3 linked regions of the Notamacropus eugenii genome follow. The protein of the gene in region 1 interacts with the protein of each later gene in a biochemical or structural test. Links are inferred from orthologs where the notes say so. Each region holds a gene or a part of one and is shown on either strand. Other genes may lie near its edges.

Region 1 (7,607 bases):
CATCTACCGTTTCCCCGGGGACCGGTTTGAAACAAGGTTTGTGGGCAGGACAGGTAGAGTGTGTATCCACTGCCTTCTTATTCTAAGGCCCTCCATCCCTCAGCCCCTCTTTATTCTTGGCCAGTTATTGACAACGTTTTTTTTTCTTGGACTTGGACAGGGCTCGCGTGATGAGTTCGCCCGGTCCAGAATGACTGCAGGGATGCATTTTAATTCCGCTAGCTAGATCTTGCGCACCGAGAGGTGTGATAACGCTTCACGTCCGCATCTCAAGACTGTTGGATGGGAAAATCCTTGAGGACCTGCCTGCAGGGCTAACACTGGTTTCTTAAGGATTGGTGAGTGGGGCGCATTCCGCGCTCACACGCACACAAGTCTTTGGAATGGCGATAGGGAGGGGAGAAGGTTCTAAGTCTCGATCTCGTTACACAGAAGATTGCTTTCCCAGATAATAAGAAGGATCCAGAGATTGCGTGGAACAGTTCAATCCAATCTGCAGCAACATTTACATGGTCGAATGATGTAGTTTGCTGTCATTCTAGTTCAGACATATTGAATTTTCACTCGTAGCTCCCAGAAGTTTTTAAGCTCCCCGCTTGGGCCATGTTTGTATATCTTGAGGGCTGGGGGAGGCAACCTTCTAAACAAAAATGGCCCTTCTCTTCATCTTCCTTCTTTCTCAAATCCCACCTCCCTCATAAACTGAGGGTGCCGACAGCTTTGTGCTGTTTTCAGCCAAATCTGGCGTCTGAGTCAAGGTTTTCTGAGTCTCTCTCTTCCTGAGGTAAATTATTTCGTTTCCCTTTTGCCCTTCCATGTCCCCTCCTTAGGCCACCATCATCTTCCTTTCTGCTCCCACCAAAATCGTAGCTGGGAAAAATTCCAGCCCACATAAACCAAAAAGGGGAAGGGGGATTGACTGAGGTCCGTGGAGGTGGAGAGCTGAATAAAAGCAAACACCGCTTTTCTCCCTTTAATTAAAGTTTATTTTGTGCACACGTATTTAGCAGCGAAGTCACTGTTTTAATTTTAAAATGATCTTCCTTCCGCCATCCCCAACTCCCCGTGATTGAAGGGTACCTCAGTAGCAGGTTAGAAACGTGTGCAAGCCTCGACTTCGACTTTGATTGAGAGCTTAGGTAATCTCATCCTCACCAAAAAAGCCAGCCCCTGCATGAGCAGGAGGAAGTATTGTTGGCTCACCCCCATACTAAACCCAAACAAGCTAAAGGAATCAGAGGGAAATACCGCCTCCGCCACCATCCAACCCTTTGCAATTGTTTCATGGTCGAAATTCAAATGCATCCAAACGCCCTCTTAAACCCACATCCTGGAGGGGAGAACCTGCAGCATCCAACTTCACCATCCGCTCTAGTCAACCGAAATAAACCCACCCAGTGCTAGATACTGGCGTCCCAATACCAACTCCTGATTTGTGATCCAAATCTCAGTGATTACATGGGACGCCTGCACGCTAATTGCAGTCCTACAGACTAATCGCTAACGCAATTAGTATAGCCCTGTGACAGAAACTTCTCCGCTAGAGCCTTGCAAACAAACCATTAGGGAGAACGGAAATCATCTTCCGGGCTTTGCCTCGCCCCTCCTCTCCCTCCCTCCCTCTGCCCTGGGAAAGACAGAATGCACATTGAAATATCACCTTGGTGCCCACCTAGGTTTTTAGGCCGTCTCTCCTGGGGTCGCGTCAAATTGTAATAGCGACAGAAGACTTACAGTAACCCCAACATCTTGCCGTTTGCAGAGTAAAAATAACAAAACATTTCGTATCCCCAAGGTGCTTGATTATTTTCGTTAGAAATAATGTTTCCAAGGACTACTATGATAAAGCACCAAATGGAGCCTCCTTTCCCTTGACTCTTTAAATTGGTCCTCATTACGTGATTTCCCCTCTAATGACTTCTTCAAACTCCCATCTTCTCTCAGTCCTCTCCTGACCATTTTAACCAAATGAGTAGAGTCCAAACAATTAACAGGAAGGAGAAAATGGGATTCGAATTAGGTTTATCACTTAAAATAGTAAGGGTGATCATTTGACTTCCTTAGCTTCCAGAACACCTCCGCCCCCAATACACATACGCAGGTATACATCTTAATTTGGCAACTTAATTCCACTTGCACCTTCTCTCCTTAGCCTGTTTTTTTTTTTCATAAAGGAACATTTGCCTGCTTTGATGGGGCTGAATTGGCTATTTTCTTTTTCTTCTGATCATTATTAACATAATTAGTTTGTTCACGTTTCCTTTAAACTATCAGATGATATAAACGTTCATAATAGTATCTAAGGTGCAGAGATCAAACATGCTAATATTAAAGGAAACATAATACCTCCACACTCTCTTCCCAAAATAAAGAAAAGAAAGAAAATGGGTTTCTCTCCAACTCTTTAGCATTAGTTTACTGATATACTGTAGCAAGATTTTGTTTTTGTTTTTCCTCTAAGGCATAAAATTGTCAGCTGTTCAAAGCGGATTGAATTTCCTTCACTTCCTTCTCCCCTCTCTGCCACCCCTTTTATCCTTATCCCAGACTCCCCATATATTACTAATAATATTTCTGCTAAGCATGAATTATTCATGAAAAAGTAAACCCTTTCAAATGTTTTCATTCCTTAAAAGTTGTTTGGTAAAATTCTATGCCAAAAGAAGCAGTTACCAATGGGTGAAGTTTTCGATAATATACAGTGCTGTCACGATCCCTGACAGATGACTATCAACTGAACAATTAATAGTTTTGGTGTTATTTGTGACCCTGGGGAAAGATGAGGAATCTTTACATGTATATATATATATATATGTACATATATATACATATTATATATATATATGTATATATATATAATATAACATAACCAAATCTAGTTTTCAACTCAAGGAAGACACTGACTTGGGGTCTTACTAGATGTCTACTAGCTGTAATAACTCAACCGAGATGTTCCTCTGGCATAGTTAAGGCTGGCAAAAGTAGCAAAATGTAAGAATTTTCTGAAATGAATCGTGCTTTCTAACCTTAATGTCCCCTAAGTGTAACAAAAGATAATCATGAAAATAGTCCCGAAAGCATAGTTCTGGTACACAGTGCCAGGGAGATGGTGGGAGATTAGGGGACATTTGAGGTTTTATTCTGATTTTTCGCCCTTTCTTGAAAGAATGCCGTAGCTCTGATTCCTGCCCTCTCCTCACCTTACTCTGTTCATCTACTGATTTTGCATTCTGACATACATTACTTACTGTCAGCTCATGGGTGCCTTCCTTCGTTCTCCTTCCCCTCTTCCCTTGCTCTACGCCTTCCATGCTCACACTCTTTCCTGCACTACTGTGTGTATCAGGGCATCCAAAGGACATCTGCCTAAAATGCCTGTGGAATAAAAGTGATGAAAGAGTGATCATTTTAATTATAATTAAGACGTTCAACTTCCCCTTATTAGTCTTTGTGTTTCCTCTCTCCCCCTTTTCCCCCACTTGATCTCCCAAAGCCCGGAAGTTTGTGCTCACTGGTACCCAAATTATATGTGTTTTTACAGTCCTACATACTAATTGTACATGTATATATGTATGTGCGTATATCCCAATGTGAATATAGGTATGATGTATATATACCCCCCTACAAATACATGTGTGTATGTGTATGCAATACATGTATACCTGTGGCTCTTTTCCTTCTCCGTTTCTTTTCTCCCTTATTAGTTAAGCAGTGATTTCTGTGCGGTTTCATTCCCCCATTTTCTCCTTTCTGCTTATCCCCCTCCCCCCAATTCCCTTCTTTCAGAGCTTCTATCAATGTGGTGTCAATCAGAGCGGCGGCTTCGCTTTCATCTTCCCTCTCCCCCTTTTCTGAGAGAGAGAGAGAGAGAGAGAGAGAGAGAGAGAGAGAGAGAGAGAGAGAGAGAGAGAGAGAGAGAGAAAGCAGGAAAGGTGGGGGGCATCTGGAAGAGTAAGAAGAGTGGGGGACGAGGAAGGAAGGTTAGATGTTAAAGTTAAACCCTAAAGGCAAGACCCCCAATTTTCAACTTCACATAAGCGTATCAATTCTTTGAGGGGCAGAAGGGGCAGCCCCGAGATCCTTCCCTCCCTGTCGAAGTTGCCTAATTTTTCTCCCCCGGAGACACACACAAACACACCCCACACGCGGAGGACCAGTCCTACAGGCTCTGTGAAAAGAAAAAAAAATCACCCTCAATCACCACCTCCTCTGCCCCCACCCCCCCACCCCTCTTAAGCCGCCAGCCTAGGAAAGAAAGAGGCGGAGGAGTTGAGGGGGGAGGGGGTATCCAGAAGGGAGGAGGAGAAGATCCGACGCTTGTGGATAGCTTTTCAGCGCCGGAGAGGCGAGGGAGGTGGAGAATCGGCCGGGAGGCGCAGCCGCTCACCTGCAGAGAAGAGCGAAGAGGAGGAACCCTCAAAGCCCCGACCGCCCCTCAACCTCCCCCTGATCTCCGGGCTCTGTGGACTCCTCCAGAGGCGCCGGGACGAGGCTCTCCAGTCCTTGCTCTCAGCAGGAGTCAGTTTCCCCTCCCCCTTCCCCCCAACTCCCCCTTCCCCTCCGCGCGCCCCCTTGGCTCCAGTAGTAGCGGAGGGACTTAGCTACTAACTTGCTCTGACAGAGACTGCGGACACAGCTGAAGGGTGGCGAGCAAAAGCGATCCAGGGTGCGAGAAAATTAAGGCTGGAGAGAAACTTGAAACAAAGAAGAGTTTGCCTTATATCTGAGACTAGGATTTTTTTTTCTTTTCTGTATTTGTGTGTGTTTGTGTGTGAGTGTGTGTATGAGACAGAGACCAGTGTTTTTATTCCTTGCGCCCCTCGGCTCTCCACACCTCCGGTGGCACAAACTTTATTCTTGGCAAACTTTTCCCTCCCTCCCTTCATTTCTCCTTCCCTGTCTTTCCTCCTCTGCCCCTGAGTTCTGTCCTCTGCTTTCATCCCCTCCTACAGATTAAATGGGCTTTGAAATGCAAAGGCGAAGAGAAAGGGAAAGAAACCATAAGCTGTAAGGACACGCGTCTTCAGGTTGCTGATTATTTGCTACAGAGATAGATGCCCATATACATCTATCGCTGCTCCAGGAAGTGGAAATTACATTATCTCCTGACTGTCCTTGCAGCTTCTCATCGTGGGAAAACGCGAACCCGGAGCCTTTTGGGCAAGCTCCGTCACTCCCTTTTGAAAACAAAACGACTCTAATATCCACTTTGTCCAGAAGATCCAGAAGATTGCGCGGAGGCCTGCCTGCCTCGCCTCCGCACTTCTGGCTAGCCCCCACCCCCTCACCACTCACACCAACTTCCACTGGCAGACACAACAGAAGGCAGGGACTTTGGTGGAGAAGCAGGAGCGAGCGCCTCGCTTACCAGAGGCACGGGAGTGATCGGGGAAGAGAGCCGACTTCGACAGCTTGGCTGAACCTCCCACTCCTCGCGGTTCCTGCTATTCTCCCTTCGGGTCTGGAGCTTGGCTCACTCCTCTGGAGGGGTAGGCACGACTAAGAGGCCATCACCAAGGCGTCCCTACCAGCGGCTGCAAAGGAGGCTTGTTGGCCGAGTGCCCCTGAGCAAGGAACGTCCCCATTCCATTCTTTTCTTGCACGCCAGTTTCAACTCTCTCAATCTCTGCCTCCTCTCCCCCCCCCCCCCCCTCCCTTTTTGTGTGCTTTTGTTGTGTCGTCGCTGCCGCGGTCGCTCCCCCGGAGGAGAGGGGATTAAAGAGCAGCCAGAATGCCCCAGCTCTCGGGGGGAGGTGGTGGCGGCGGCGGCGGGGGGGACCCGGAGCTGTGCGCCACCGACGAGATGATCCCCTTCAAAGACGAAGGCGATCCGCAGAAAGAAAAAATCTTCGCAGAGATTAGTCACCCTGAAGAGGAAGGGGACTTGGCCGACATCAAATCCTCCTTGGTCAATGAATCCGAGATCATCCCAGCCAGCAACGGGCATGAGGTGAGCTCCCCACTCCCGCAGCCTGAAAAAACATGGGACGCACCCTAGGGAGGAAGGAAAGAAATGGGTGACTGGCTGTGTTTGTGGGTCTTTATGTAAGTGTGTGTGTGGGGGGGGGGGGTGGCACAGAGAGTTGTGGTGCTAAATGTATAACTTCTTATTTTGGCGAGGGGTGGCGGGGTGCTAGACCATTAAGGAAATGCTCCTGTTTTGTGTGCACAGGTGTGTGTGTTGTGTGGTTGTGTGTGTGTGTGCTGCCAAACTTCTGAAGTTAGTGGTTTTCTGGGGCTCGTTGATATGGCCATCGGGAATACACGGTCTCGTGCGTGTTTCCCAGGATTTCTTAGGACTCATAACCTGGAAGGAGAGTTCAGCCCTGGATATCTTCTCTGGGCCTCAGTTTCCCTTTCTACAATACAAAGGAGGTGAACTAGATGGCCTGAGGACTCTTCTAGCTTTAAATCTTTCTTCGCGTTCTTTTTTTTTCTTAGTGTAGGCGAGAGATGAGAAAGAGGATGGGGCAAAGGAAGGAGGGGGAAGAAAAGGGAGGGGGGGCATACTAACAGTCAAAAGTTTTCCTTTAATGCGTACAGTTGTCTACCCTAGTGTGTCAAACCACCAAAAAGCATTTGGAGATGGGGTGGGGGCGGAGAGGAAGGGCGGTGGGCTGCGGGCGTGGGGCAGGGGCTGACTCTGGGGCTGCCAGCTGCGGAACCGGTGGAGCAAGCAAGCGAGGGAGGGAGGCCCGAGGGGAGCAGAGCGCACGAGTGGGAGGCTACTGTGGAGGTTAGGGATGGGAAGGGGCCCGCAGCCCAAAAACAGCTGCCCACATCCCACTCAGAGGCAACAGCCACGGTAGCTGAAGCCCGTCACTTGTGGCCCCGAGGAATCTGAGACCCAGACGTGTTGCCTACAAGGTCGTTGCCTCTTTATTCACAGCACGTTGGTTTTCTTCCACCTCCCTTCATCACCTCCCTACCCCTCCATCTCCCACCCCCCAGGTTGTGTCTATTGCTGTTCGGGCGCTGAAACTAAGATACAGAAACTCCGGCGTAAATCGAGATAAAGCCAGGCCCGTGGCACCAAAGGAAAGGGGGGTGGGGGGGTGGGGGGAGAGATCGACGATTCTTTATCGGATCTACTTGTTCTCCTTTGGCCTCGCGCTCCTTGAGATAGCGCCAGTAACCCGAGTAAAGTAAATAGAGACACGTGGGTGCCTGAGAGAAAAAGGGAAGACAACTGAAGGGGGCGGGGGGGGGGGGAGGGGAGAGACGGGGGGGAAACTCTGTCCCTTGTATGAAAACCTATCAGATGTGTGTGGACGTCCAATAACTGTCAATAACTGTCCAGCTCTGTGCTGGGATTGGGAAAGCCATCTGAATTGAACCCCCAAACTATAACACCAAGGCTGCTCCCCTAAAGACATCTAAGTTAGTGTCCCCATTCTTCACCAAGGCTGAGTGTATAGAAAGACTCTAGGGAGATAGTACCATAATAAAAATAAATATATCCCACATTCTCCTCCTATTATGAGCAAGGCTAAGTGTTGAGTTTTCCTTTAGGGTTCAAGGTATGACAGCACATTCCCTCCCCAAAGTGCATGTTTGGGAGGAGGAGGAGAGTATCTTTATGCTTATCGAGGTTGGGTTTTTTGCAG
Region 2 (8,447 bases), on another chromosome or scaffold:
TCATATTTAGTACTACTAAAAAAATATATTTGTTATGGTATGTGAAAAGGAATAAAATAAATCTTTGATACCTACCATCACATAATGCCTCTGCATTTCTGTCTTTTCACTCGCCAATTTCTCACATTCCAATTTAAGGCTACAAAAACAAAACAGGCAACTTCATGTAAACATTATGTCACTTGTTTTAACATCTGCCTCACATATTTGCACTTCAAGTAAAAACACAGACCAATTTAGAAAAACTATAAACTATCAAAGTAAACACCCAAAAGCTTTGTCCTTGTATTTAATAGAGAATACAAGTAAAATGAATTCTATGTGCAGTTCATTCCATTATGATTCATTCTTAGGGTATATAAAATCCCAGGTACGGGGTAAAAAAATAAGTCAGGTCCTCAAACTAACCAGTAGTCTTATCATCTGTTAACTCATGGCTAGTTAAATTTTTATTAGGTTCGTGGTGTGGGATAACCCTCTGAACAGAAACTTGAACTTCAAACAACATATATTGAGTGTTTTGACTCAGTGGATTCAAACATCCCTCTAAGTTTTTAAAATTGTAATGGAAAAATTACTATTCCCTAACAGTCAACTAGTTTTACCCTAGTCTTTAAAACACACTAAAACATCACATCAGATAACCAATGACATAGGTATAGCCTTGGAAGTGTGTGATAAGAAAATACATGCCTTAAACAGAATATTGGACATTCCTGAAAACAATAAAGAATCCACTCACATTCCCTATTAAAATGGTAATTTATAAGTTGCCTCTGCTTTCTGCTGAAACTAACTTAAACCGTGATGGCATTTATCTCTAAAGAATAAAAGCTAATGCCTCGGTTAGAAGTTGGCTTTTAAGCTAAGGAGCAAGCCACAATATCAGTGTTTCTTCCACTGTTTAAAATTCCCACTGATTTGGACAGTAAGTCTACACTTGTACTCAAGTGCTATGATGAACTTCATATGCAGAAGCCTCAGTTCAATGGGGCTCTGAGATTGGGAACTTGAAATTCTATTTATTTTTGGGGATCTCCAAAGTCAACCTCAATGTAAATGGCCCAACAACTCTAAAGGTTTAAAAGGAGTAATCTTTCCACCATGAACTTTGCTTTGTACAACTCTATCCCCCAACATAACCAAATAGTTATTTCAACACTGCATTTGTCCCCTGCATTCCAAGACTAAGACATTGATTGAGCCAGTGTTTTCAGCTCAGCCTGTTGCAAAATAAATACATGAAGGGCAAATATTGACGGTTCTCATGTTAACTCCAAAACACACAAAAAAAGTTCATTTGAACAGCAGCAAACAGGACGCCAAAACAATAGGAGGAGGGGAAAAAAAAGAGGAGGACTGAGAAAAGCCAAGGAAGGGGAAAAAAAGAGGGGGAAAGTGAATGACAGGTTTTAACTGTGATTCCACACGCCACCGCCTGGACACAAGTACTAAATACAGCTGCCACCCCAGGGATAAGACAGGGAGAAACAGAAAACCAGAGCCCCCAACCCCCACCAAGCCCAAGACGTTCCACGCTGACATCCAAACCCCAGGGCAGGGCCAGCCAGGGTCGGCTCAGGACTGAATGCTCCCACTGCACGCACCTGTGATACTGAGCCTGCAGGAACTGAAACTCCTCTTTGATCCGATCCAGGGACTCCGGGATGGTGAATTTAAAGGGCTGACCTGCAGCCTGGTGCGGCGTCTGGAGGAGGTGTGGGATGGGTGTGCATAGATGTGCAGGAATAAGAGAAAGTGGGGGGGAGGTAATGTAGGGCAGAGAGGGGAGAGGATGGAGGGAGAGAGAGAGAGAGAGAGGTGAGACAAAACCCAAACAAAAGTTACCAGCTATCACAGGTACAAAAAGAAACTAATTTGTTTTTTCAGTTTACTTTAGGGGAGGCAGACGGCAACGCTCGCTCCCTGCCCCCACCCCGTTTGCCGAAACTCCCAGAGCCTGTAGAAGCGAGGTAGGAAATCTACCCCTGCCCCTCCCCGTCCCACTCCTGGGGACACAGATGGGGGATGCCCCTGTAATTCAGGTCGAAGTAGCACCCTGCTCCTAAAGGGCCTGCGAAGGTGGCGTTAAAGATGGGTGCCCGCCCCTCCTATAGGCAATAAAGATAATAGCCCTAGGGAGGTTAGCGGAGTAACAGACACCCCAGCCCCATCCTCCCAGTTCCCAGAGTCCCCTAAGAGGACTCGGGCCAGCCCTGGCCCCACTAGATCCAGGGCTGCAATTGACATGGAAATAAGATAGTGAACAAAGGGGGACCTGAGGGGGGGGCAGCTACTGGAGGTTGGGGGGGGGGAAGAGAGAGCTAAAGACCTTCCTCCCTTAGGTGGGAACAGAAGGGATGGGGAGAAGAAATGTAAGAAGCTTCTCTGTCCCCGTCCCTCTGCCCCGCTAGCCTATGTGCCTGCCGCCTTTAGAGGTGCTAAAAAGGGAATTAAAAGTGGGGGGAGGGAGGGGAAGGTGGCCAAGAGGGAAAAAAGCCAGAGGATTTCTGCCTCCACTCTATTTGTCAAAGAAAAAAACCCACCACAAAACAAAACCCATACGGCATCTTCCACCACTCTTACCCCACCCCCGCACCCAAAGCGGAAAACAGGGCCAGCAACTCCGAGAAGGCAACCTAAGCAGCCTCGAACCCCGCGGGGGGAAGGTGGGGCAAAGGCAGGGCACAACCCCAGAACAGCGCCTCCCCCAGCCTCCAAACCTTCGGCTACTTCCCCCCCCCCCCCAACATGCACCCTCCACAAGCACACGCCCAGGGCCCCCGGGCCCCGCCGCTCCTTACCGGGTGCCGGCTTTGCGGGAACATCGCTCTGACGGCAGCCGCTGCCTTGCTCCTGGGCAGCTCAATTCTCCGCTCAATTTCCAACTTTAATCCCGCCGAGAAATATTAAGACAGGAAGGAAGAAAGAAGATCCAAGCGAGAGGAGGTGGGGTGGGGGGTGGGGGGGTGCGCGTTAGACATGCACACACAAGCGCGCGCGCACAGACACTGACATTACACGCACATACGGACACGCACGCACAACAGCCAGGCAGGACCGGAGCCGGAGTTGGGCCACTTGGGCTCCCAAGGCCGGGCCCCGAGCTCAGGGCCACATTTCCCTCTCTTCCTGCTCACCGCCCCCACCTCCCACTGGGGCCAACGTCTCCCGCCCGGCCTCGGGGAGTGGGGGAGGGAAGAGGAGAGTTTCTAGGCTTCGGGAAGAAGGAAACGGACCCGAGGTGGACAATGGAATCCCCCAGTTCCGGCGCTGAGGTGGGAGAGAGAGGGTGGACGCACAGGTCTTCCTCCCCGACGGCCAAAGCCGGGACCAAGGTTAACTCCCCCACCACCAACCACTCCCCTCAGATGCGCGAGCTGCGCAGGTCCAGGGCAAATCAATCCAGTCTTTCCCCCCCACCCGTCCTTGCTCCGTGGGGGGCCAACTTGCAGGTGGCAAAAGAACGCCGCCCCACCCCCCAACAAAAACAAACTAACAATCAGGGGACCGGAAACCCCTGAGCAAGCCGGGTGACTTCTTGAGTTAAAGACGATATCCAGGGAGGGCAGCCAGGAGGCGAATCTGTAAGGAATTGTCACCCCACGCCGCCCAGACAGGGGTCGGTGGGTGCAAAGGGGAGCCGAGGATCACTCACATATAAACGTACCCATCCGTACTCGGGCCGGCTAGCCTCAAAGGCGCTCCCGGGAGGAGGTGGGGTCACACACACACGCACAACGCACACACAGAGCCCGGGGTGGAGGCTCCGAGCCAAGTGATCACCAGCAACCACAGAGAGAAGGGTAATGATGCAAGGAAAGTGCAGAGACACAGAGCGCAAGAGAGGAGGGGGTGGCCACGCAGCATATGCACTCAAGCAGTCTTGGAGTGGAGACTGAAAAAAAAATCCCAACTAAAACAAGCCGAAGCAAGGGGACGAGGTGGTGGGTGGCAGTAGTAGACAGAGGCAACAGTCTTCTTGGCCGTTGCACAGAAATCCTAGTAGCAGAAAAGGCGAACCAGCTGGGGCAATTCTCAGTTACTCAGAAGGGTGCAGCCCTCCCGGGTGCAGCAGCCTCCCAGCTGCTGCCGCCGCCGCCGCCGCCTCCTCGCGCCTGGAGCACATCGGGGAGCGACTCACACACACCCATGCAGCAACCGCCGCCGCCGCCGCAGCATCTCCACATTCATAGACACCCGCACGGCCCCGCAGCCCTGCTGCCTTCTGCCGCTGCTAATCCTTTATGGGTTTTTTTCTTTTCCTTTTCCCCCCTGGCACCCCCCGCCCTTTTTGTGTTTCCCTTTTAACAATCGACGCTCCAGCCACAAGTAAAGTTCCCCGGGAATCCCGGGGAAAACATCCATAAACCGAGGTACGATTGGGAAGACTCCACGGAGCAAGCCCGTTCGCTAGCTCGCTCGCTCTGATGATCTTCTCTGCCTTTTTTTTTTCTTTTTTTTTGCAATCAGGCAAACTCCACAGGGCTATCGAGAGTCACAGAGTGACCAGGGGGCCGGGCCGAGGTGAATCGGTGTGGTCAGCCGGCCAAGGGTCCGGTGACGCCGCTGCCACTGCCCGCCAAAGCAGCGGCACCGAGCGGGTAGCAAGCAGCCGCCTCTCAAGAAGCGGGACACAATGTATCCGGCGGTGCTGCTCCAGCTCCGGCTCCTGCTCAAGCCGCCGCCGCCGCCGCCGCCGCCGCCTGCGCCTCTCGCGCTGGTAACATTAACACGCGGTTTCACACTCCTCTAGCTAACCAGCGGCCGGCCCCGCCCACCCTGGCGCGGGCGGGGAGCGGGGAAGGGGGGCGAGGAGCCGAGGATGGAGTCCGTGTGGATGAGGGTGGGAGGAGAAGGGGAGGAGGGGAGTCCCGGCCCAACCAATCGTCCGTTCCAAGCCCCAACGTGGGATCCTGACGACACGCCTCCCAACGTCCTATAGCAGCGCAGTACCAGCCTCGGCCTTTCCCCCCCTCCCCCCACTTCACCATTCTCCCTCCTCTCCTCTCTTCCATCAGCACTGTCTCCCCTGTCTCTCCTCCCGCCCCCTCCGCCCAGCCTCGTCCTCCCCGGCTCCGCGAGGAAGCGTTCCTGGAGGAGCTGCGGGACGCCCAGGCCAGCCAATAGGAAGCGGGGAAACGCTGAGATTGGCACGGAGGATGGGAAGGTCGGTGGGAAGGAGAGCGGCAGTACCGACCTGTCAATCAAAGTAACGTGGGGGAGAGTGAGCGCGCGGGCGCGTTCTGGGGAGAAAAGGGAGAGGGGGCGAGGAGCGGTGTCGATAAGAGTGTGTGGCTTTAAAAATAATATCGTTTTCTTTTTTTCACTTAAAAAAACCTCCAGATATCTGTGACAGTAGTACCCCAGTGAGGCAAACCATTCGTTATGATTGGGAATGGAGGGTAGTTCAAGAAGAGCACATTTTTCCCCCTCATGGAAACCACTCGTTTGATACTGTTACTTTGAAAGCCAGGTCACTTTCAAAATGTCTTTCAGGTTTGTTTTTAGCAACAGTTACCTTTTCACGGACACGAAAGGGTAGCACATGCACTTGAAAAGGCAGAGTGGAAGGCATTCCTAGGCATTTTTACGTATAACATCCACGTTGAAATTGCGTAGCATTTTATTTTTTAGGATCTCAAAGCACTTTTTAAAAACCACAGTGGTTTTATTTAACACAAGGCTAGAAAAAGCACTAATGACACAAATCACACATGTCGGCAGAAAAGTCCTGCTACTTGCTTAGGATGAACTCAAACCCTGTTTTGCAAATTGTAACCAGCCTATGTTGTGAATCAACCGCAGACTCTTAAGAGTCTTACACCCCAGTTACCACCATAATCTTTCCAAAAGCTGAAAAGAGAGGAAGAAATAGTGTGTACTGACATCCCCTGTGTACTGGCAAACCTGTTTTTCCCCCAGATAGTTTTTATGGTAAAAGAGCACTGAAATATTTCAGGTGATGAATTGGGGAGTGTTGGGTAAGTGACATAGTTGGAATTCATAGATCAACTCAAAGGTCTTTGTATAAATAGAATGCATTGGTAGTTTTCAGTTCTGTCAGCGCAAATGTATGCATACAAACTTTAAAGGCTTTAATTTTGCAAAGAGTTTTCAGTTTTGTTTAAATTATAGTCTTTCCACATGCCCCATGTGTGAATGTTATCTTTGTCAAATGGTAACATATTCTTCAATTGGAAATGTACTTCTTTGACAAATATGAATCTTATGTTGGAATTTAGTTAATGAGTCTTTTAGTATTAATGACTACTTTATCCCAATTGTCTTCTTTAAAAACTCTTAAAGACTCAAGTCTTTTTTAAGCATTTGCTATTTAAACAGATGCACTTTATTTAAAGATTCTTGCATTTACAAAGATCATTCTTCTTAAAATATTTAAAGGATCATTTTATGCAACATCTTTCACTGTTGCAGTTTTAAAACATTTATAAGATTGATTTTTTCATGATTGTATCAAGCCTCAAACTTCAATTATAAATGAAAAACAAACATTTTTAGGCTGTATATTTGAAGGCTATAGTAAATTCTTAAACATTCAGAATTTTATCTCTGCAGTCTACTAAATAAGTGGAATTTTCACTCATGAATAATCACAAACATTGCTATTTGTCTTGTTTACATGGAAAATAAAGTCGCTGGAAGTGCTTCCTATTTTTGTCAGATTATGTCATCACATAAATTCAGCCTTCCTCCCCTCCTTGACAAATACATTTCAAATGCAACTATATGTATACAGACCTATATGCATATACATATACCTCTAAGTGTATTATGGACATGTAGATGTTTACATGAGGGCAACATCTGGTGATTGTATCAAAGATCCACTTTGGTTTGATGGACAATATTCAAATGATATCCCATTATGTTTACCTAGAACAATTTTTCTTCTGCATTCATAGGATTTTGTTCACTTTTATGCAGAACATGTGAACATATCATAGATATGCATGCATATACGAGGATACCTAGTGAGGGAGACAGCAACACACCTGCTTACCCAGCTTTGGCTGGTGTGAATTTTAACCTGCTGGCACAAGCTGGTAATTAGATATAAACAGACAAATTAAAACAGTGTATTTTGGAACAGGAACAAAAACAGTGTTGCTTCCCCTCTATTCCTCCTCTTCCCTCCATTCTCCCTACTCCACCCCACCCCATAATAATGTTCTGTAATTTTTTATGAACTTAAAATGTTTTTAATCACTAGGTTTTCCTGTGTATATTGGAGAAAACTCTAAGTTTCTTTAATGACAAAGGTCTTCCTGACCTATGGCAATTGAGACACCAGGACTTACAGATTTTTCCTGTGTTATCTCTGGAAAATTATCTTTTACAATTGAAAGTCTCTAATTATGTGCCCTAATGATGGCTACTTTTCACCAGTTTCTTCTTTTTCTCAGAACAGCATCCCTGCAAGATATAGAAGGCTCTGCCCCTTTTCAAGGTCATATTTTCTCCTTGATTGTCAGACTGTAATAATTATACTGCAAAACTCTCATCAAACTGCATTACAAATGATGGTGTTTAAACAATCAAGCAGCTTTAATCTTATGTTTTAAATAAATAATATATGTGCAGATTGCCTACAGTATTATTTAAAAGAAAAATAGAAAGTGCCTACTTATCAAATTCATAATTTCTACTCTTCTATTTGAAGTCTGTTAAACATAATTTTTTTAACCTTCACATTCATGTATGAATATATGGATAAAAATATTAAATGCAGTTTCCATGTAATACTGAGCTTCTGACGAAGAGTACCTTTTTTTTTTTTCCAGAAAAGGAAACAAAGGATTGTGGTACTGTTCATTTTACCATAGATGCGCATGTACATTTTTTTCCATTGACATGTTGATTATCAAATCTTCAACCTACTAATAACACAAGTATTTCCACTACATGTCCAAATGAATACTAGATGTTACAGATACTAGATAGTATTGTTTCCTTAATAGGAGAAAATCTTTTCCTGTGATTTATTCCACTGTTCTGCATTGCAGAGCAATGAGAAAAAAAAGTTAATTGAGGTAGCTAATCATAGAATCCAAAAAAATTATGTATCTTCTTAAAACGATTACCTCTTTTTTTATGAAACAAATAATAATGGGGTCAGGCTTTTTAAAAAAGCCATTTTCATTGTCCTCTCTACTTTCTAGTTAATAGTTACCGCTTTCATTATTCATCATTTAATTTTTTTTAGCTAGGAATTTTTCTTTGAGCCTAACCCTGTCAGAGGGGCTCCAGAAGGACTTTTCTCAGCACTACTTTATAACCTTTTGCTCACCATGCTCCTTTACTAAAAGAGACAGAAAAAGAGGGGAAAAAAAGACTGAAAAGTTGAAAAAAATCAGTAGCAGATCCATGCAGCAGTAAAACCTCAAATAAAATCAGATCCAAAGAATCTCTTGTGGTTTCTCACA
Region 3 (7,401 bases), on another chromosome or scaffold:
ACACTGTGAGGGTATGCCTCACTTTCTCTTTACATCTAGAGATGACCAAAGAGCACCAAAGGGCTGCCCGTCTGTCTATCCCTCTCCATAAAACCTTGCTTTGGCTTTTTTTGCTCATACATTTCTTTCCCTCCTCATTTTTCCCATACCTATTCTACGACCACAACTGCTGGCATTTTTTTCTAGAAGTAATATTACTTTTGACATGTTTGGATTATACGTAAAGCATAATGAATGATGCTACAATCCATCTCTTTCTATCTTTGTTTTCTACCACAAGTAGCCCCAATGAAGGAAGTCCCAAAACGCTGTCACCCTTTCTATTTAACAGGCAAACTTCTGAGTGTTCCCAGCCTTTTGGCGAAGAGGCTACTCTGAGCCACTGCCAACGAGGGGCTGAGAATGAAGCAGCAGAGCAGAGCGGGACCCTCCTGTAGTACTGCCTTCTTTCCTAGCAGTCCCACAAAACCTGAGAGCTCCCCTCTTGGATTATTCACATGAAGCTTTAGTATGGACAGGCGAGTTTGATCTATGGTATAAGGACTCCTAGTTTTAAAGAGATGAATCAGATCCTGCTTGAAAGCATAAAGGAAAAAAAATCTGAACTAATAAGCCATGATTGCCAGAGACAATGCAGAAAAATACATTTATGTTAATTACAGGATCATCCTGAGAAATAATGAAAGAAGTCTTTGGAGAGGGGTTTGGATGGGATGCATGGGTGGAGGCAATCTATTCTACTGGTAGAGAAAACTAAATACTAACAGGAATCTTTTCGGTATGTATAAGAACACTGATGCTTGTAAAAGACAGCCTAACCTCTGAAATGTTTCCCCATCTACTCCATTATTGTTGTATAGAAATAGAGTTCTACATTGTTAAATACTGATACTTTTATCACAAGACTGTGTCTTAATCTTCCAGAGAAGACAAAACAAACCAAAATGTTGCTTCTTTCTATTCTTGTAATACATTCTAGGAGTACAGTAAGTAGAGGAATGTTTTTAAAAAAATGCTTTATCTCTATATGGGTTGAGAGAAACTTAACTGACCCCTGAATGACACTAAAACCTTACAATGAATGTGGACCACTGCTTATCTACATTCTACCAATGTTACTTGTAACATCCTGAGTGAAAAACTATACGTGATGCTTCATTACTAAAAGACCATTAATGCTCTAACAGGTTTCCTAAACAGGGCTGACTACAATAGCCTCATGGGTCTAAAACAAACCCGTCAAGAAAATATGCTTAAGTGTGCCTAACTTTTCTTCTTTTGAGGAATGCAGAGCTGTTAGAAATGATCTAGTTGGTGACAGCCAGGAACTTTACCAGCAAAAGCCCTTGATGGGTCATGAAATAAGGGGATAAAGATGAATGGGAGTGGGAAGTTATGATGTAAAAAAAAGCAGGCTAAGTAAGGATAAGATTCTAACATGAGACACATGCTTAGCTTGGGATGGTTGTGATACTTGAAAAACCTGGGCAAATGTTTGCAAATTCTGACCCTACCAGATGTGATCTTCCAAGGTCTTCAAGGAAAGACATATTCCATCCCTTCTTTATGTGCCACCCATTTGGCTGCTTACTCAAGCCTTGCACCATGCCCTTGAGCAAGACTGCCGTCCAAACTGTGACATGGATCCTAAGACCAAGCCTAGGCCTACCACCATGGCTGCACACTAAGCCTGCTCATAGCACATGAGGCAGTCTTTCCCTAAGCGTGGCCAGACTCAGTGTCCTTGGGCAGAGCACATGCCAAAGGCCACATGCACCCTCTGGCTGGTTGTGCCCAACCACAACAGCTGAAAAGAAAATTAGCTGTGCCTTTCTTTTCATACTCACCAGACAACACCAAAGGCCCCATATCCAATAGGTCTGTCCGGCTCAACGTCCAGCTGCTGTTGTGGATGGTGTGAGTGCTGATGATGGTGCGCTTTCACTGCAGCTGCTGCTGCAGCCTGTACCTGAGCTGGGGCCGTGGCAGCTGGGCCAGGGGCCTGACCTGGTGCCGGTGATGGGAAATATGGCTGTTGCTGCCCGGGGTTTAACATGGCAGCAGCGGCCGCGGCTGCTGCAGCCGCGGCCGCCGCCGAGGAGGTATGCTGCTGCACCGGGTGGACAGCAGCAGCTGATCCGGGATGGAGATGGTGCTGAGGGTGGTGGTGGTGGTGAAGGTGTGGAGGAGGCAGGTGTGGAAGGTGGTGGTGATGGTGGTGGTGGTGACCTGCTGCTGCCGCGGCAGATGTACCACCATTGTAAGCCGCCATCATCTTTGCGTTGGCTGCCGTGCCACAAAGAGACATTAAAAAATGCCCTTTGATTTGAAAACAAATTGGGTCAAGCTGTCATTTGGCCATTTAAAAATGAAGAACACCACTCCACCTTGAAAAACATAGAGCTTAACAGGCTTTATGTCTTCATCAATCAATCCAAACAATTTAGAGGATCTTGGTGTTTTCTTTTCCTTTGTGGGTGTGTGTTGCAAAAAAAGAGAAATCAAAACAAAACCAAAACAAAAAGAAAAAGAGACCCCTTCCCCCCAGGATTCCTGCCACAACTGAGTACTAAAACTTCATTATTAACATTTTTGGGGGGAGCCCACTAACTTTGAATGTAAGTATAGAAGCCAAATCTCCTGCTCCCCCAGAACCACTCACACAGAAAGACCCAGGGAACACACCACCCTTGGAAACCTCTAAGTAAGGCGGCTTCACCTACCCCTTCCATTCCCACATCCTTTTCTGAACACCTTTCCAACTCCTCAAAAATAAAATCCTCACTCCACCTTCTCTCCCCGCCCCACCACCACAAAACAATTGGTTTTTAAGATGGGGGGGGAAATCAGAGAACGAAGCCCCCCCCCCCCTGGACCCCTCGGGCCTTCCTCCTACATCTCCCCTTCCTCTTCAGTTAGGTGGACTGGGAGGGGAAGGGAGGGGAGGATGGGGATGGGGGCGGGGGGGGGGGGTGGCTAAACTTTCCCCGGGCAGGATGAGCCAGGGAATGTGGGAAGGTGGCAGGGAAGGGAGGGAGGGAGTGAGGGGGAGAGGAGCAGGAGACAGGGAAGGAGACGAGGAGAGAAAGAGAAGGGGGAAAGTGAGGAGGAGGATGGGGGGGAGGGGATGGAAGGGGGGCGGGAGGGAGGTAAGATGGGCAGCGCTCGCTGCTCGTTCGATCCCCAGCCCAGGCACAGGGAACCGCCCCGGGGGCTGAGGCTCCGGCTGAGCCAGGCGCCGGGGCCGGGGCCCGGGCCCAGCGATGGAGCCGCGGGAGGCGGGTGGGGTGCGCTCGAGCTCGGCTCGCCTCCTGCCCCCGCCGCCGAGCAGGGCTGGGGGGAGAGCGGGTGGGTCCCCCGCGCGACGGCCCCGCCGGGCTCACGACTGCTCCGTCTCCCCCCTGCCCCCACCCGGCTCCCCGCCGCCGCCGCCCCCGCCTTCTCTGTGTCTCTTCAGCAGCAGCAGCCGCCGCCGCCGCCGCCGCCTCCTTCCTTCAGCCGTCGCCGCCGCCGCCGCCGCCGCCGGACTCACCTCCCTGCACAGCCGGATAGAGCGGAGCCAGCGGCGGACACGCGCAACCAGCCGCCAAGGCCCCGCCCCAGCCTCGCACTGACCGGCCGCCTCGGCCAATCCGAACCCGCCTCCCTGTGCCCGCCTCCAATCGCGGGTGCGGAGCCCCAGACGGGCGGGTAGCTCGACCAGTGGAGGTAAGGTGGGGATGCTCCTGGGGAAATCCCGCCTTCGAGCCTCGATAGGCAGGCTTACGGTCCAATCGAGAGGTAGAGTTCGTTCTGAAGGACGGGCCCGAAAGCGAATCGGAAACCAAAGATCCCCGGTGACATTCTCTTTAGCCCCGCTTTTTTTCGGCCTTTTTCTTTTCTTCTTCTTTTTTTGGGGGGCAGGAGCAGGAAGCTGCGTGCTAAGCTCGGCTATAAGATCTGAAACAGAGGGGTGGAATGAAAGGACCAATGATAGGTTGAAGACAAAGAATAGAACCACCAATCCTGACCAGGGAAAGGAGCAAAGGCGGAACGCCACGAAGATGGACACCTGGAATTGACAAATGGAAGTGAGAACTGCTGTCGGTGCCGCCCCCCAGATCCCATATAGGGTAGGGCTATGGAGACCTCGCTGTCATTTGTGCGAAGATCTCTTCAAGGGGCGGGGCCTAAAAGATGGGCGGGGCATGTGAGAAGGGGTGGAGCCTACATTCAGTGGGAGGAGTCCAAGCCAAGGATCAGCCACACTAATGCTTATCTAAACTTGATTTGTGAGAGACAAGCTTCACCTTCTCTTTGATAAACAACCCTGACCTTAGACCGCTTTTCAAGAGGAGGAGAAAGGGAAGGAAAATTGAGGTCACCTAGTAATTCAGTCACTGAGCCAGCCCTGGCATCTGGACACACTGCCCACGTGCTGCCCCATCTCTGGCATTCTCCAAAGCTTGGCTTCCTATGGAAGAGAATGGAGTTTATGAATTTATGAAGGCTCACCACTGCAATTAAGACTGATGCATCCTTTTTTTCTTTTAATTCCAAGCTTGGTGGAAGGATAGAAAGATTAATTGTCCATATGTTCCTCCAATAAAATATAAGTTCTTTGAGGGCAGAAGCAGCTTAAGTTTTTTTTTTTAATCCCTGCATTCTCGGCATCTAGCATAATGTTTGGTGCTTAATAAGAACGTAATGACTTGAAATGAACTGAATTGAAGGGCCCTAAGATATGCACACAGACCACAAAACGAAGGCTGTTTCCCTGAGAGAAGCAAACCAGCAAGTGTGTGGAGTTTGTTCTGGATGGGGGTTTCTGTCCTCCCATCTTTCATCCAAGAGGGGTACAAACATTGGGGTCGATCCATTAGTCCCTCCCATACCTTCCCAAAAGCATCAGCTGAGAGGCCTTTCTCCTCAGGATTTTTTTAGGCACTGGGGATGATAAACTGGAAGTGGGATGTGAGTCAGCAAGATAGCAGTTGCTGTTTTAAAAAAGCAAACAGGACACTGGAATGCATGAACGGGAATATAATGTACAGGAAGTGTGGGAGGTGATCTTGTTCTTATGCTGAGCATGGGCTGGGTCCTGTTCAAGTTGAAGGCAAGATGGGTAGGACTGGAAAAAGTCCAGTGTGGGACAATTGCAGTGATGAAAGAATTGGGAAAGGGCTCTAAGGAAAAACCGAAGGAATTGAGGTTTCTTAGATCAGAGAATTATATAGGCTTTACATTTACAACAGCTTTTTACACACTCAGCATCATCACATTTGATCTTCACTGCAACAATCCTGTAACATGGAGATTACCACCCATTTTACAGATACAGAAGTTGAGGCTTGGAGGAGTGAAATGATTTGCCTATGGTCACATAGGTTGTAAGTGTTTGAGGCAGGATTACTCCCTATGTGCTTTTTACCATTATACCACACTGCTTTTTCAAAAGGAAAAGATGAACCAGAGGGAAGTTAAATACCAAGATGTCCTTTGATTGAGGAAGGAGGGCCAAGGCTTTCTATAATTACTTTATCTATTTCCAGCATTATCTCTTACTAGTCCCACAAATATACACCCCATTCCAGCCCGGAAGGTCTCTTCATTGTCCCCCAAATACTGTCTTTACTGCTGGGTCTTTGCTGGAGTCTTACCTTGAATGCCATTGTCCATCTCTATAAAGGTAAAGGGAATAGATTGTCCTGCTACAATCACAGGGGCATCTCTCTCTTAGTCATTGCTGGCAAGATTCTTGCTACAGTCCTCCTTAATAGGCTAATCCTTCAAATGGAAAATGGTCATCCACCTGAGAGCCAGTGTGACTTCAGAAAGGGCCAAGGAACAATCAATATGGTGTTTGCTGCCCAACAACTCCAGAAGAAATGCCAGGAGAAGAAGAGGTCTATATACAATGTTTGTAGATCCGACCAAGGCCTTTGACACTGTTAGTCATGAGAGCTTATGGAAAATTATACCAAAATTTGGTTGACCAGAGAAGTTCATCAGTATTGTACATCAATTTCATGATGGCATGTTTGCCCAGGTTCTGGATAGTGACAATGGTCACGTGCTCACCGGTGGAGTGAAACAGGGCTGTGTGCTTGCTCCCATGCTTTTTAGCACGATGTTTTCAGCCATGTTGTCAAATGCTTTCAATGAGGATGAACACAGCATGAAAGTCAACTATTGTGCTGATGGTAAATTCTTCAATTTGAAAAGGCTGTAGCCAAGATCAAAGTGTTGGTGCAATTTCTATTTGCAGATGATTGTGCAGTCACTGCAGCCTCTGAAGCTGAGATGCAACAAAATATGGATCAGTTCTCTGCTGCCTTTACTAATTTTGGCCTAATAACACAGGTGCTCCATCAGCCACCACCACCCATCTATACATGGCTGGAGAAGTTTTGAATGCTGTGGATAAGTTCACTTATCTTGGTAGTGTACTTTGCAGGGATGTACACATTGACAATGAGGCTGACACACACATTGCCAGAGCTAGCTCAGTGTTTTGGAGGCTCCGAAGAAAAGTTTGGGAGAGAAGGGGTATTAGACTGACTACCAAACTAAAGGTCTATAGAGTCATTGTGCTGACCTCATTGTTGTATGTCTATGAAACATGGACAGTCTACCAGTGCCATGCCAGGAAACTGAATCACTTCCATTTGAACTGTCTTAGGAAGATTCTGAAGATCACCTGGCATGATAAGTCACTGAGGTCTTTGCTCAAACTAAACTGCCAAGCATTCAAACTATTCTTCAGAGAGCACAATTCTGATGGACTGGCCACGTTGTTCTAATGCAAAATGTACGCTTGCCAAAAAGACTATTTTATGGAGAACTCACATGGTGGTCAGAAGAAGTGATACAAAGACACTCTCAAGGTCTCTCTCAAGAACTTTGGATTTGATTGGGGGACATGGGAGACACTAGCACAGGACTGCTCAGCATGGTGTGCCCACATCAGAAAAAGTACTGTGCTCTATGAGCAAAGCAGAATTGAAACAGCACAAAGGAAATGTAGGATGCGCACATTTGGAGTAACCACCCCAAATGTTCACATGGACTATCTGTGTCCAACCTGTGGTAGAGCATTGTGAGCTCAGTCATACTCATTGAAACTTCACTTTATCATGGTGATGTCCTTTTGGTCCTCCTTGAGAATGAAGTGCCCGGGGCGACTCGAACAGCAAACCACCCACAATGCCCTGGTACCTTCTCTTCTCCTATAAAGGGCCAACCCAGAATGCAAGGTCCAGCTCAGATCCTTCATGGAGTCCTTGCTAACCATCCCATCCCACATTGAGAGCCCCTTTGAAGAGCCAAAGTCCTTTTTTTTCTGCCTCTTCTTTGATCACTTTTTTTTTGTTTACATCAGTAATATCATGGGAGAAGGCAAGGGGAGAGGCAAGAAAAGGG

Evidence for each region.
Region 2: the proteins of LEF1 (region 1) and transducin-like enhancer protein 1 form a complex in vitro, tested with the Homo sapiens proteins (2 studies listed by BioGRID and IntAct, with this or other methods). The link is inferred for Notamacropus eugenii from reciprocal best matches to the Homo sapiens genes LEF1 and TLE1.
Region 3: of the proteins of LEF1 (region 1) and NLK, one has a biochemical effect on the other in vitro, tested with the Homo sapiens proteins (4 studies listed by BioGRID). The link is inferred for Notamacropus eugenii from reciprocal best matches to the Homo sapiens genes LEF1 and NLK.

The regions. Positions count from the first base shown.
Region 1 is NC_092878.1:122,373,562-122,381,168, forward strand, and holds the start of LEF1 (lymphoid enhancer-binding factor 1), read left to right. Parts: upstream 1-4,364; 5' UTR 4,365-5,731; coding exon 5,732-5,950; intron 5,951-7,607. UniProt on the Homo sapiens protein: Transcription factor that binds DNA in a sequence-specific manner. Participates in the Wnt signaling pathway. Activates transcription of target genes in the presence of CTNNB1 and EP300.
Region 2 is NC_092872.1:72,093,079-72,101,525, forward strand, and holds the start of transducin-like enhancer protein 1, read right to left. Parts: upstream 3,155-8,447; 5' UTR 2,829-3,154; coding exon 2,805-2,828; intron 1,709-2,804; coding exon 1,608-1,708; intron 140-1,607; coding exon 76-139; intron 1-75. UniProt on the Homo sapiens protein: Transcriptional corepressor that binds to a number of transcription factors. Inhibits NF-kappa-B-regulated gene expression. Inhibits the transcriptional activation mediated by FOXA2, and by CTNNB1 and TCF family members in Wnt signaling.
Region 3 is NC_092873.1:35,498,236-35,505,636, reverse strand, and holds the start of NLK (serine/threonine-protein kinase NLK), read right to left. Parts: upstream 3,305-7,401; 5' UTR 2,309-3,304; coding exon 1,848-2,308; intron 1-1,847. UniProt on the Homo sapiens protein: Serine/threonine-protein kinase that regulates a number of transcription factors with key roles in cell fate determination. Positive effector of the non-canonical Wnt signaling pathway, acting downstream of WNT5A, MAP3K7/TAK1 and HIPK2.